3 linked regions of the Tribolium castaneum genome follow. The protein of the gene in region 1 purifies or fractionates together with the protein of each later gene. This does not show direct contact. Links are inferred from orthologs where the notes say so. Each region holds a gene or a part of one and is shown in the gene's direction. Other genes may lie near its edges.

Region 1 (3,961 bases):
TTATTTGATAAATAACCATCAAACTTAATAAGTTTGTTAAATGTAGGTCAAGATGTATGTACTAATAATGTCATCAAAAAAGCACTGTTTCTATTTTTAATTAATTAATTTTTTTATTTTTTTAACAGTAATTCCTAAAGCGATTTAAAGAAACTTTAGGGACATGTAAGAAGCTTGAAAGGCAACCTACTGAGCACAAAAAAATAATAGCATGCCATTAAAAATTATTATTATGACATAAAACGTTTTTTAGGACTCTCTGTATAATCAAAAATATTTTCAAAAAATGAGTCCTATAGTATAAATGAGCTGGATCGTCCTGTATATTTTAGTCATTAGTGAGTAAACAGAAAATAAAATCAGTATTAATTTTCTCTTTATTAAAGAATTTTTTTATAAACTAGTGTTATAGCCACTTATAAAGGTTACTGGAACACATCTCGTGGCTGTGATTACGCAAAACTTTCACTTTCTTTGAAAACAATCAATTTCAGCCAATTATACAACGCCGCTTTTTGTCCGTCCTGATTTTTTCTTTGTTTTGTTGACACAGCTTCGTAATTATTTTGCACATCAATAATGCAAGTACAAGGTGAACACTAGTGTTGTTCTTGACCCACAGAACATTGTCGCAATTGTCTACAATTAAAACAATTTTCAGGCGATTACAATTACGCAATCTCGACATTTTCAAAAATACAACATTACAATGATTACGACCCCATTTCCTGGGTGTGAAACTGTACCATTTGGTAGCGACGAGTATTGGGCTTGTGCCGTTCGGCACGTTGCCACCACTCTGGGGCACCAGGTTGGGACCTGCAAAATGGGGCCCCCGAGCGATCCCGATGCTGTGGTCGACGAGAGATTGAGAGTTTATGGGATTAAAGGGTTAAGGGTGGTCGATGGGTCCATCATGCCCAATGTGGTGGCCGGACATACCAATGCTGTGATAATGATGATTGGGGAGAAGGCTTCAGACATGATCAAGCAAGAGTGGGCAAGAAAGTGACTAGAACCGGTTTTTGGTGCATAAAGTACGGGTTTGTTGATTGTATAAGACTGTAATTAAATAAAAGCGATTTTCTATTGACGTGATACTTTATTTGTCCCCCTCAAAAGACCATTTCTTGCGATTTATTTGAATATTCCCGCGCATACCGCCAACCAAAAAAACCAAAATCCCCTAGAAAATTTATTGTTTATTTTCGCTTGATTTTAAGCAAAAAACCATCAAAAACATTAAGGGTGCAGTTTTATTAACTAACACGTTCTTGTGGGTATTTAATTGCTGTAGTCCTACCGGACCGCTCGAAATCGTGGTTAGTGTTTGAGGTTATGTTAGTGGAGCCCCCGTAAAATGAACCTCCCGGAGTCCGACAGCGAGGACGAGTTGCCCCCCGGCTGGGAGGAGCGCGTGACGGTCGACGGTAGCGTTTTCTACGCAAATCATTTAACCAAAGCCACGCAATGGACGCACCCCCGAACCGGGAAGAAAAAGCGAGTCTCGGGGGATTTACCCTTCGGTTGGGAGCGTTGTATTGACAAAACGAGCGGAAAAGTGATTTACGTGGACCACGAGAACCGTAGAACCACTTACACTGACCCAAGACTGGCTTTCGCAGTTGAGGAGAAAGACCATCCGAATGATTACAGACAGAGGTTTGATGGGTCAAGTACAGCCCTTCAGGTGTTACACGGCCGCGATTTGAATGGAAAAGTTGCCCTGGTGACGGGGGCTAACTCGGGGATTGGGTTTGAGACGGCGCGGTCTTTGGCCAAACATGGGGCCAGTGTGATTTTTGCATGCAGGGACTTGGAGGGGGCTGCCGAAGCCATTGCGAAGGTTAGGGAGGAGAAGGAGGCGGCGGGGGAGAATTGTGTGGCGATTTATCTCGATTTGGGGGATTTACACAGTGTGGACAGTTTTGCCAACCAAGTGAAAACAATGTTTAAACAGATTGATATGCTGATTTTAAATGCGGGGGTTTTTGGACTTGCTTTTAGTAAAACAGTGGATGGTTTCGAGACTACGTTTCAAGTGAATCATTTAGGACATTTCTATTTGACACTTTTGTTGAGACCTTTGTTGGTCACAGGGTCAAGAGTTGTTGTGGTCTCATCAGAGTCTCACAGGTGAGGTGTGCCAACCTTGCCAGTGGTGTCCGGTTATAACGAACTCAAATAATGCGTCAAAATAAGCGTTAAATTAAAAAAATATTAAATAAGACGAAATAACTAAGTTTTGTAAAAAAATATGAATCCTTTGCGATACATTAATATGTAGGGTAAGGTGGGGCAGCTTCGGACGACTTTTTTTTTGGAACCCTTCAAAAGTTTTTGAAATTATTTCGCAGTTTAAACGTTTGCACCTTTAAAGAGCTTATGTATTTGTCTACATTTTTTTATTGATTGTAAAAAAACATGAATTATTTGGAAAGCAGTAATACAGGGTGACACAGGGGTGTGTAATTGGTCTATAATTTTTTTATTATCTAAAATATTGCCTTAGTTTTACACAAACTAAAAATGTTTTTTAATACAGGGTGGTGAACCAAAGTTAAATTTTTTTAGATGGAAATATTTTTGCATAATTAGATTCTACACAAAAAATAATGTAACTTTATATAAATTATTATAGGTGTATTTCTTTTCGTTTTGGAATTATTCAATTTATCTTATAAAAAAGATCAATTTTTGAAAAATTACTACGGAGTCTCCAATGAATATTTTTCAACACAGAAAAATTCAGAATACTTTGCAGTTTTAGCAAATTGTCGACTTTTACTTGAAACACGCAAATAATGTACAGAGTGTGCCAAAACACAATAACTAATTTTTTTCAAATTGATCACCATGTATTCTTGTACACGTATAGATAGCATTTCTGATAACCTTTTTATGATATGTAATTGCTTAGAAAATTTGAAACATTTTTCGAGATTAAAAAAAAATATTACAAGAAAATTTGTAATCTTAGAATCTGATAAGTCAAATGGTAGTTTATGTTTTGATATAATAATAATACTTTAATAATTATAATAATTTATTTGTGGCACTAAAATGGTTACAATATAGTTAGTTACAACAAGAAAAAAAATACGATAACAAAATTTAAATTTTCTACAAGTTGTTCTTACCTCAATTGGCCCAGACAATAAATGAGAAATAACAAAAAATAAAAATAAACAATGTGATTGAAGAAAAATAAAAAAATATAACAAAAAAAATATCTAATTCTATTTAACAAAATTATAGAGAGGAAAAAAACACATAAGAAAAATAGAAAAATCATTTTATAAGAAACTTTCTGTATTTGTGTTTAAAATTGCTGTTTTTATAATTTTTTAATGTTAGATAAACTTCATTGTAGAATAAGTACAGACTGATCCAGAAATACTGAGTCTGTTGGCAACACTGGACTTAAATTTTTAAGGACACCAATGCAGTACGCTTTCATTTAAAAACAATTTAACATTCTTGTGGGGTTGTACGTCAAATAATTGTCAAGAAAAATAGAATTCGGTTGCAATGTTGCAAATTACGAGCACAAATACTTTCAAATGTGTTGCCAACAGACTCAGTATTTCTGGATCAGTCTGTAGATATGTACTAATATGACTAATCACATTAGTAATTTAATTATTACTTGATGCATAAATGAATTTTACTGAAAATCTTACATAAATTTTACTGACACATAAATGAATTACTCAGGTAATTGCTGAAAACCCATTAAAAAAACATTGAGCTTATGGAGAGATTTTCGGTGCTTGAGAAATAGTTCGTTATAGCCGGAAGTTCGTGATAAGCGGGTTCCACTGTAACAAACTTTTTCCAGATTTTCGAACTTGACGACTGATAACATTTCCGTGCAAACTCTTTCGCCGGAAACCCCGGCCAAATACTGGGACATGACGGCTTACAACAATTCCAAGTTGTGCAATGTGTTGTTCGCCCG
Region 2 (4,120 bases), on another chromosome or scaffold:
CTCTGACTACCAGTTAATCAGAAACAAAGTCTCAGGGGTGTTACCATACTCTCACTATTTTTACAGGTAAATTCAAAAATTCAGTTGAAACAAGCGTAAAGGTGAGTTGTAGCGGAGTCACGGGCTCTGGCGTTTGTATTTTATCGCGACACCCGATGGAGGACGTTTTTTTCCACCAATGGCCAGTAAATGGTTACATTCATAAAATCCACCATGGTGACTGGTTTGGTGGAAAGGGCGTGGGTTTATGTAAATTAAAGGTGAACAATTACACCGTCAACGTCTACTCTGCACATGTAAGATTTATTTTGCTTGATGAACAACACAAAGAGTAATAATTTTAGTTGCACGCAGAATACGACCGAAATTGTGATGAATACCAAGCTCACAGAGTGCTCCAATCTTTCGATACCGCTCAATTTATCCAAATGACGTCTGGAGACGCCGACCTAGTAGTCCTGGCCGGGGACTTAAATACCGAACCTGGAGATTTAGCCTACAGGATAATGTTGAGTGTTCCGGGACTTGTAGATGCGTTTGGTGAAGCTGGAGAAACGGTGCAGAATTGTGTGGCGACAAATGAAAGCCTCACTAATAGTTACACACCCGTGGCCTTACTCAAGAAAAACATTCCTGGCAAAAGAATCGACTATATCATGTATCATCCAGGCTCAAGTTTACAAATCGATTTAAAAAGCTACACATTGCCGTTACCACACAAAATCCCCGGATGTGCGTACAGTTACTCGGACCATGAAGCAATCGCTGCGACTTTAATCGTCACAAAGAGCGAGATAAGGTCGCTGAAAAGCGACCAACACATGAAGAAAACTGTCCTTGAAGAGAGCATAGAAATCTGTGATGACGCACTCAGGGGCTTGAATAACCATAAATATTTGTACTGGTTTTTTACGTTCGTTTTAATCGTGTTGCTGGTTACGACACTTGCAACTGACCTACCTTTCGGCTACAATCTGAATTTTATTTACCACATTTTGAAAATTTTAATCACCCTTTTTATGTTTTACACTTTGATGATGGCAACTATCTGGAATAAAATCGAACGTCATGCTGTGATTGCGGGCAAGTTGGGAATGGAGACAGCTTTGAGGAAATTAAAAGCCAAAGATTTGTAATTATATCAGGGCCAAAACAAGCTCAGTATTTTAAATCAAAGACCAACACCTGTTGCTCATTTTTTATTTGGTTTGTACGACTGTGATCGTTTCTGTACCACTGGTGAATAAAGTTTTCATTTTTTAACTGTTTGTACTTTTTTTCCCCGCCTATTTTTGAACTGAGCGCAACTTTGCCATCTGTTTGACGCTGATTGGTCGGCGAATTTGTGTTTATTCTCTTCATAAATGCGGTGTATTACGTGGTGTTCAAGAACTACAATAAAAATAATCTGATAATAAATGAAATACAGCCTAAGTAAACACCAATTTGAGTTAAGACTGTGGTGCTGAAGCTAGTGTTGTAAGAGTGCTGTGTAAAACTACTTCCGGATTTTGAGGTTAGGTATGTCATTTTATTTTGTCGGTCTCTAGAATTTTAATTATTTCATCGTGAAGTCGGCTTTTTTGTGCATTTTGTAGTAATAGCGTGTCGATAGTTGGGTAAGAGAGTGCGTTTTTGTCGATATTTGGCGTAATTTCGTAACTAATCGATTGGGAAGTGCGTTCACTAACCTTTCAGGTTAATTTTTTAAATTGGATTAGTCCCTGACTTATATTAGTAAATACTGCTTCCGTTTCGTCATCCTGTAATCACGACACATAATTAGTGCCCGGTTTGGTTTGCAGGACAATATATGATCACAAAATGCTTAGAAGTCTCGTTCCGGCAGTAATCACGTTATTGTTGATATTTTCGGCGGTAAAATGTGACGAAGTGGACGATTCTGACGAGGCTACTGTGGAAGTAGAACCGGAAGAATCACACATTGATATCCCCTACGAAAGTCCGAGCCCCCTTGACCCGAAAAAGGTCTATTTCGCCGAGCATTTCGACGATCCAGACCAGTTTGCGAAACGTTGGATAAAATCCCAAGCGAAGAAAGAAGGGATTTCCGAAGACATCGCAAAATACGACGGTGAATGGCAACTTGAACCAACCCAAAAAGACAGTCTAGTGGGCGACAAAGGTTTAGTGCTTAAATCAAAGGCTAAACACGCTGCTATTGCCTCCTCTCTCCTAAAACCGTTTATTTTTGATACTAAACCATTAATCGTGCAATATGAAGTAATATTCCAAGACGGCCAAGAATGTGGCGGAGCCTACTTGAAGCTGCTCACCCAGGACTCCGCCAGTAAAAACTTGAACAACTTCCACGATAAAACCCCCTACTCGATCATGTTCGGCCCCGACAAGTGCGGTAACGACCACAAGCTCCACTTTATCTTCAAGCACCGCAACCCTCTCAACGGGAGCGTCGAGGAAAAGCATTGCAAAAAACCCAAAGACCGCATTGAGGAAGTCTTCTCCGACAAACTCCCCCACTTGTTCACCCTTGTCCTGCACCCTGACAACACCTTCGAGATCCTAATCGACAACAAAGTGGTCAATTCGGGAAGTTTGCTTGAGGATTTCACCCCGGCAGTGAATCCTCCGAAAGAAATTGACGATCCTAATGACAAGAAACCTGAGGATTGGGATGAAAGGGAGAAAATCCCTGACCCAGATGCCGTGAAACCTGACGATTGGGATGAGGATGCGCCGGCTCAGATTGTTGATGAATCAGCGGTGAAACCGGAAGGTTGGCTGGATAATGAACCGTCGCATGTTTTCGATCCTGATGCAAAGAAACCAGAAGATTGGGATTCGGAAATGGACGGGGAGTGGGAACCACCGCTTATTGATAATCCCGCTTGTAAGGATGCTGTCGGGTGTGGGCCTTGGGAGCCCCCACTTATCAATAATCCCGATTATAAGGGGAAGTGGAGGGCGCCGCTTATCGATAATCCTAATTATAAGGGGAAGTGGAGGCCCAGGAGGATCCCCAATCCCGAGTTCTTCGAAGATAAGCATCCCTTTAAAATGCAGACTGTTGTAAGTAAATGGTTAAAAAATTATCTTGTTTATGTAACTGTAATTATTGGTGCCGATATGTTTACATTATTTTTTCTTCTTGTTCAAATTTATCAGTTGATTTTGTACACTATTAGAACATAGTTTACAAATCTGCAGTCAAAATTTGGCTGTCAGCTCTAGTTTCCTCTCCAGTTTCCAGAATTTGTGAAAAGTATATTTCGATATGCTTTGTACAAAAATAACAAATTCTGAGCTTCTAATTTTGTTAGCAATTTTTTTAGAGTGCCTAGGACAGTGAGAAAATGGTAAAAGAATTGCCTCTTGATAAAATTGAGCCAACTTGAAATTGACACATTTATTTTTGCGATTTTTTTTTATTATCTTTGGTTTTTGGCAGAATTGTAGTTGTTTAATTTCCATATTTTTACCGAAACTGCGTATTTGATTATTGCATTGTTGCCTTCAACAAAACATGTTGCAAAAAAGAATTGTTTGTGTCACTACAAAAGGATTTAGTTGCTATGTGAGATATGCTAACTAAGGAAGTAATATATACTTAGCCACACCCAATCGTTTTTATGCTTATTTTGGCGAATTTGCGTTCGTATTGTGATAAAAATGTTTTGTAAACCTAAATAAAGAATTGTATTTTTGCAATTCATTCAAGATTAATTTATCTTTGGACAAATAACTTTTTTCAGACCGCTGTTGGATTTGAGTTATGGTCAATGTCAAAGGACATTTTCTTCGACAATATTATTATTACCGACGATATTACCGTTGCGAACCATTGGGCAGACGCCACTTTTGAAAAAAAGAAGCAAAAGATCGCCAAGGATTCGGTTAGTATCTGTTTAATTTAAATGAATTTTATTATATTTGTGATTTTTTACTAAATAAGAGGACACTGTGGGGTCGTCTTATGAAAAAGTTAAACTATAAACCTGTACCGTGGTTCTTATATTTCGTTTATTGCGCCATACCGGTTTGTTGTTACATATGGTACCTCTACTTCTGCATTCAAGAGGTATTTTCGTACTGCTAGTTATAGTTTTCTTTGTTTTGACATAGGAAAGCGTAATTCAAA
Region 3 (3,980 bases), about 4.5 Mb from region 1:
TTTTTGACCGAATCCAAATGGAATTCTTTATTTTCCACAGGCAACAAAAAAGTGATTTTAGTTGAGGAGTTTCCAAACACGTTTTTGAGGAATTGTGACGAGTTTGGGCCAGTTTTAGAGTAATTGAGCTAGTTTTTGGTCCAAATAATTAATTTGGTTGGTTCCAGGGAGTGTTACTACAAGGGGAATTACCCGGTTATTTTCGTGTGTACGGACACTTTCGATAATAAAATTAATCTAAGCGAGAAATTATTTAGTGAGGACGTAAGGGTTAAGTATAAAATTGCGACGATTAGTTTCAACGGTTGCGCCCCAACTTTGATGAAGAGTGCCCTGAAAAGGGCCCAAAACCTCGTGCAGGGGAATCCCGATTTATTTAAAATTCCGTCTCAAAGTACAGTCACTGCCATCATTTCCACAGCCATGGGCGACTTGAAATGCGCCCTAAATCAGTATTATTTTGCCGCCCTTTTAGGTAAAAAATCACCCCCCATCCCCCAACTGTCTCACAAAAAAATTCCAGGAACTTCAGACCTGCCAACGATCCAAACCCAAAAATCGGGCACCAAACGCAAACGTGATTCGTCCACTTCGATTCAAATAATGTCACGTGACGAAAATTTGGGCCTTTTTCACGCCCTTGGCCGCGTTTTGAACCCGAAGTTGGGCGAAAATGGCCGACTTGCGTGCGATTTTGACCGATTGGTCAACGAATTCACAACACAGCCTGGGCTTTTCACAGGGTTTTTGTTCGAAAATTACTTGAAATATTTTGGGGATTTGGTGGATGCCAGTCAAGGCAGTGAGAATTTGAGTTTGGGTCAAACATTTCTAGAAAAGTTGGTCGATCGACATGATATTCTCGACTATGCGATTTGGGTCTCCGTCTTGGGCTTGATGGTACATAATGGGCATAAGGTGTCGCGATGGAACCAAATCAAGGGCCCCACCAAGGTGCAAAAGTGGGTTTTGTGGTCTTTTTTTGGCGTTTTTTGATGGGTTTGTTTGCAGGGTTGTGCCAAATCGCGAGGTTTCAGTGACTGATCTTTATTACTACAACGTGATTAACAATAAGACTAATTCGGGCTTTGTATTGTCGTGATTAATAAATTTGAATTTGGCGCCTTAGTATTGTCTTTTTCTCTCTCTAACTTGTTTTTACCCCTATCTTTTCTCTCTCTCGCCTGGCAGATGACATTTCAAACGTCACGTCAAATGTCACTTGTCAAAATCGGGGAGTTATCGAAAATTTTTCTAGAAAAACAAATAATTTCATTGTGTGAGTACCAAAACCGTGCGAAATGTCTCTAAACACGGCTCATATAAACGGCGGTGTTTTAATACACGCCGGTGAGAGGTAAGCAACTTCTATCCAGACGTTTCGCCCCCTTTAACGCATCGTTAGGATTTTACTGTTCGCGGACGACGTCAGCATCGAATGGTCGGGTCAGGGGGACCCCACATTCAAAGGCACCAAAACCGGCCGCTTCTACCTAACCACCCACCGACTTGTCTTCAACAACAAGAGCGGCAGCGACCCCATGCAAAGTTTCAGTTTCCCGTTTGTAACACTGAGTGAGGTACGTTCGCCCCCCTTTCACTCATCATTTGTAACAAGGGGGCTGTAGGTCGAGATCGAGCAACCCGTCTTTGGCGCCAACTACATCAAGGGCAAAGTCAGGGCGCAGCCCAACGGCAACTGGATTGGCGAGGCCAAGTTCAAATTCACTTTCAAGCGTGGGGGCGCCATCGACTTTGGCCAGGCGATGCTCAAAGCCGCATATTTGGGTGAGTTGTGCAACATTTTGCAACGAAATTTAAACTTTTTCTTTAATTTAATCTCCCAATAAATAAGTAGGCGATGATAAAAACATCACGTGACCGTTGCGTTGCTAAGCAACGTTATTGTTTTTTTTCGTTTCAATCGAGTGACCTTGGCATTTTGTGGTGCCAGTTGTAGGAATTTCAATCAAACAAAAAAAACACCAAACTGGAAATAGAAACGATACTCAACTATTTAATAAAAATTGCAAATTTAATTATAATTGAGTTAAATTGTTTCAATTAGCCGATTTAGGTGGTGTAACAGGTGAAACTACCGGTAAAATGTTTTAAGGCTAGTTTCGTTTCGAATCAGGGCGAAAACACAAGTGTTACACTGTTATTTTTTTATTCAGTTTCATTTAATTAACAAAAATAGGTACAATAGGTGAGGAATTATTATTATTTTATTATTCGGAGTCGTTTTCCACCTTAATTTCTCTAATTTCTGGTGAATCCGCCTCCTGGTTCGCAATCGTGCTGGAAATGCTGATATTTTTGCTGAATTTCTTGTTAGAAATCGTACTCATGTGCGTCTTGAAGTGTTTGTGAATGTTGGACATGATCCAGAATCCGTTCTGATTTCTGAAAATTTTCACGTCTTTGAGACAAATACAGCACGTGATGTAACACTGATTTGAATCTTCGCTTGAAATTTCGGCCCGCATTTTAGACATTTCTCGTGTCACGTAAGCCGACTCCTCATTGGTCAGATTGCGTGAGCAAAAGTTTATTATCCAATTAGAAATGAGCGCTAGAATGTTTTGTTTTTCGCTTTCGAAATCGCGTTGTTCGTCTGTTTTTTGACGTTTCGTCGGTGCTTCACACGTGTCCCCCGTGTGACGTTTTTTCCATGAAAAGCTGCGATAAAATTGTGCCATTTCGAGGAGGATTTTCCGATGACCGGAAAATATCGTAAACAGTTGCGGTTCAGTCGCGAAAATCCCCAAGTATTTTTCATGGAGGACGCGATCGATGACACGTGGGATGATTTCCCGCCCGATTTTCACCAATTCGTCGATGTCTTCACTCTCGAATTTCGACAGCGAGGTTTTGTTGTCGAAACCGGCGAATAATAGCAAATTCTTGACGTGTGTCGGAATTTTCACTGATTTTTCACGTTCGAAACACTCGAGAATATTCTCGTCGGCCATGATTGTAATTACGGTTAATTTCGGGTAATTACGTGTAATTACCCGAGTATTGATCACAAATGTGGCTCTCTCTAGCGACGCGAGGAATGAACAACGACGCCCCTCCCCCGTACGTCCCCCCCAACACCGAATGGTATGCGGCTCCGCCCCCGGCCTACGCCCCCCCGCCGGAGGGTTACTACGGCTGGGTGCCGCCCCGTCACCAATTCCCCGATAATCCGCCAACCGACGGCGTTTACATGACACAAGCTCCGCCCCCGTATCCCGGCTTAAACCCCGCCTACCAACCGGGAGGGTATCCGCCCCCGCAAGGGGGTTACCCACCCCAAGGTGGGTATCCGCCGCAAGGGGGCGCAGCCGGATTTGCCTCACCTGCAGGTAATTATCAAGGACGCTAACTGCCAAATAAATATTGTTTTACGAAATTTTGTTTTATTTAAGATGCGAAGGCAGCCGAGGCCGCACAATCGGCCTACTATGATCCCAATCGGCCACAGATGGCGTTCGTGCCGCCGCCGGCTTATTACGTAAGACAGGGAGACCAATCGCAGTTAGAAAAAAAAACACTATTTTGTTTTAGGAAAATCCCCCAAGTTACAGCCAAGCTACCAATAAGAAGGAACAGTGATGGGGTCACGTGACACTTAAAATTTGTATCAATTCTTTCTAATGTCTTTATCCAATTATGCAAAAGTATTATTTGTTGGTTTTTAATTGTTGCATCATTCCATTGATAGGTCCACGAAATATGCATGCGTTTTTTACGGCAAGGCTTTGCAATAGTTTGAGGCACTTATTTGCTTGGAAATTTTGTATAGTTGAGATTATTGTAATATAATTATTCTTATAACGTGTAGATAGATCTGTATAATGCAAATAAATATTTTATGTGCAAATGTGCACGCACTTGTTTTTCTGCCAGTGCTACAATCCCACAATAAGTCCCAAAATATGAATTTGAAAAAAGGAAACGAGAAGTCAAAGGGGAGATTTTACCTGATCGCC

The links.
Region 2: the proteins of Wwox (region 1) and calnexin purify together in Homo sapiens (affinity purification with mass spectrometry; 3 studies listed by BioGRID and IntAct, with this or other methods). This does not show direct contact. The link is inferred for Tribolium castaneum from reciprocal best matches to the Homo sapiens genes WWOX and CANX.
Region 3: the proteins of Wwox (region 1) and Wbp2 purify together in Homo sapiens (affinity purification with mass spectrometry; 3 studies listed by BioGRID and IntAct, with this or other methods). This does not show direct contact. The link is inferred for Tribolium castaneum from reciprocal best matches to the Homo sapiens genes WWOX and WBP2.

The regions. Positions count from the first base shown.
Region 1 is NC_087399.1:7,889,657-7,893,617, forward strand, and holds the start of Wwox (WW domain-containing oxidoreductase), read left to right. Parts: upstream 1-1,161; 5' UTR 1,162-1,276; exon of another isoform or gene 1,277-1,327; 5' UTR 1,328-1,360; coding exon 1,361-2,136; intron 2,137-3,841; coding exon 3,842-3,961. Other genes in the region: glucose dehydrogenase [FAD, quinone], read left to right, coding at 662-1,012. UniProt on the Homo sapiens protein: Putative oxidoreductase. Acts as a tumor suppressor and plays a role in apoptosis. Required for normal bone development. May function synergistically with p53/TP53 to control genotoxic stress-induced cell death.
Region 2 is NC_087402.1:5,190,082-5,194,201, reverse strand, and holds the start of calnexin, read left to right. Parts: upstream 1-1,320; 5' UTR 1,321-1,516; exon of another isoform or gene 1,517-1,521; intron 1,522-1,524; exon of another isoform or gene 1,525-1,619; intron 1,620-1,805; 5' UTR 1,806-1,824; coding exon 1,825-3,051; intron 3,052-3,734; coding exon 3,735-3,875; intron 3,876-4,104; coding exon 4,105-4,120. Other genes in the region: nSMase (putative neutral sphingomyelinase), read left to right, coding at 1-66, 113-296, 345-1,136. UniProt on the Homo sapiens protein: Calcium-binding protein that interacts with newly synthesized monoglucosylated glycoproteins in the endoplasmic reticulum. It may act in assisting protein assembly and/or in the retention within the ER of unassembled protein subunits.
Region 3 is NC_087399.1:3,370,658-3,374,637, forward strand, and holds Wbp2 (WW domain-binding protein 2), read left to right. Parts: upstream 1-1,180; 5' UTR 1,181-1,301; coding exon 1,302-1,357; intron 1,358-1,405; coding exon 1,406-1,580; intron 1,581-1,628; coding exon 1,629-1,788; intron 1,789-3,050; coding exon 3,051-3,353; intron 3,354-3,416; coding exon 3,417-3,502; intron 3,503-3,555; coding exon 3,556-3,603; 3' UTR 3,604-3,877; downstream 3,878-3,980. Other genes in the region: cell cycle checkpoint protein RAD17, read left to right, coding at 1-119, 168-475, 524-962, 1,012-1,102. UniProt on the Homo sapiens protein: Acts as a transcriptional coactivator of estrogen and progesterone receptors (ESR1 and PGR) upon hormone activation. In presence of estrogen, binds to ESR1-responsive promoters. Synergizes with YAP1 to enhance PGR activity.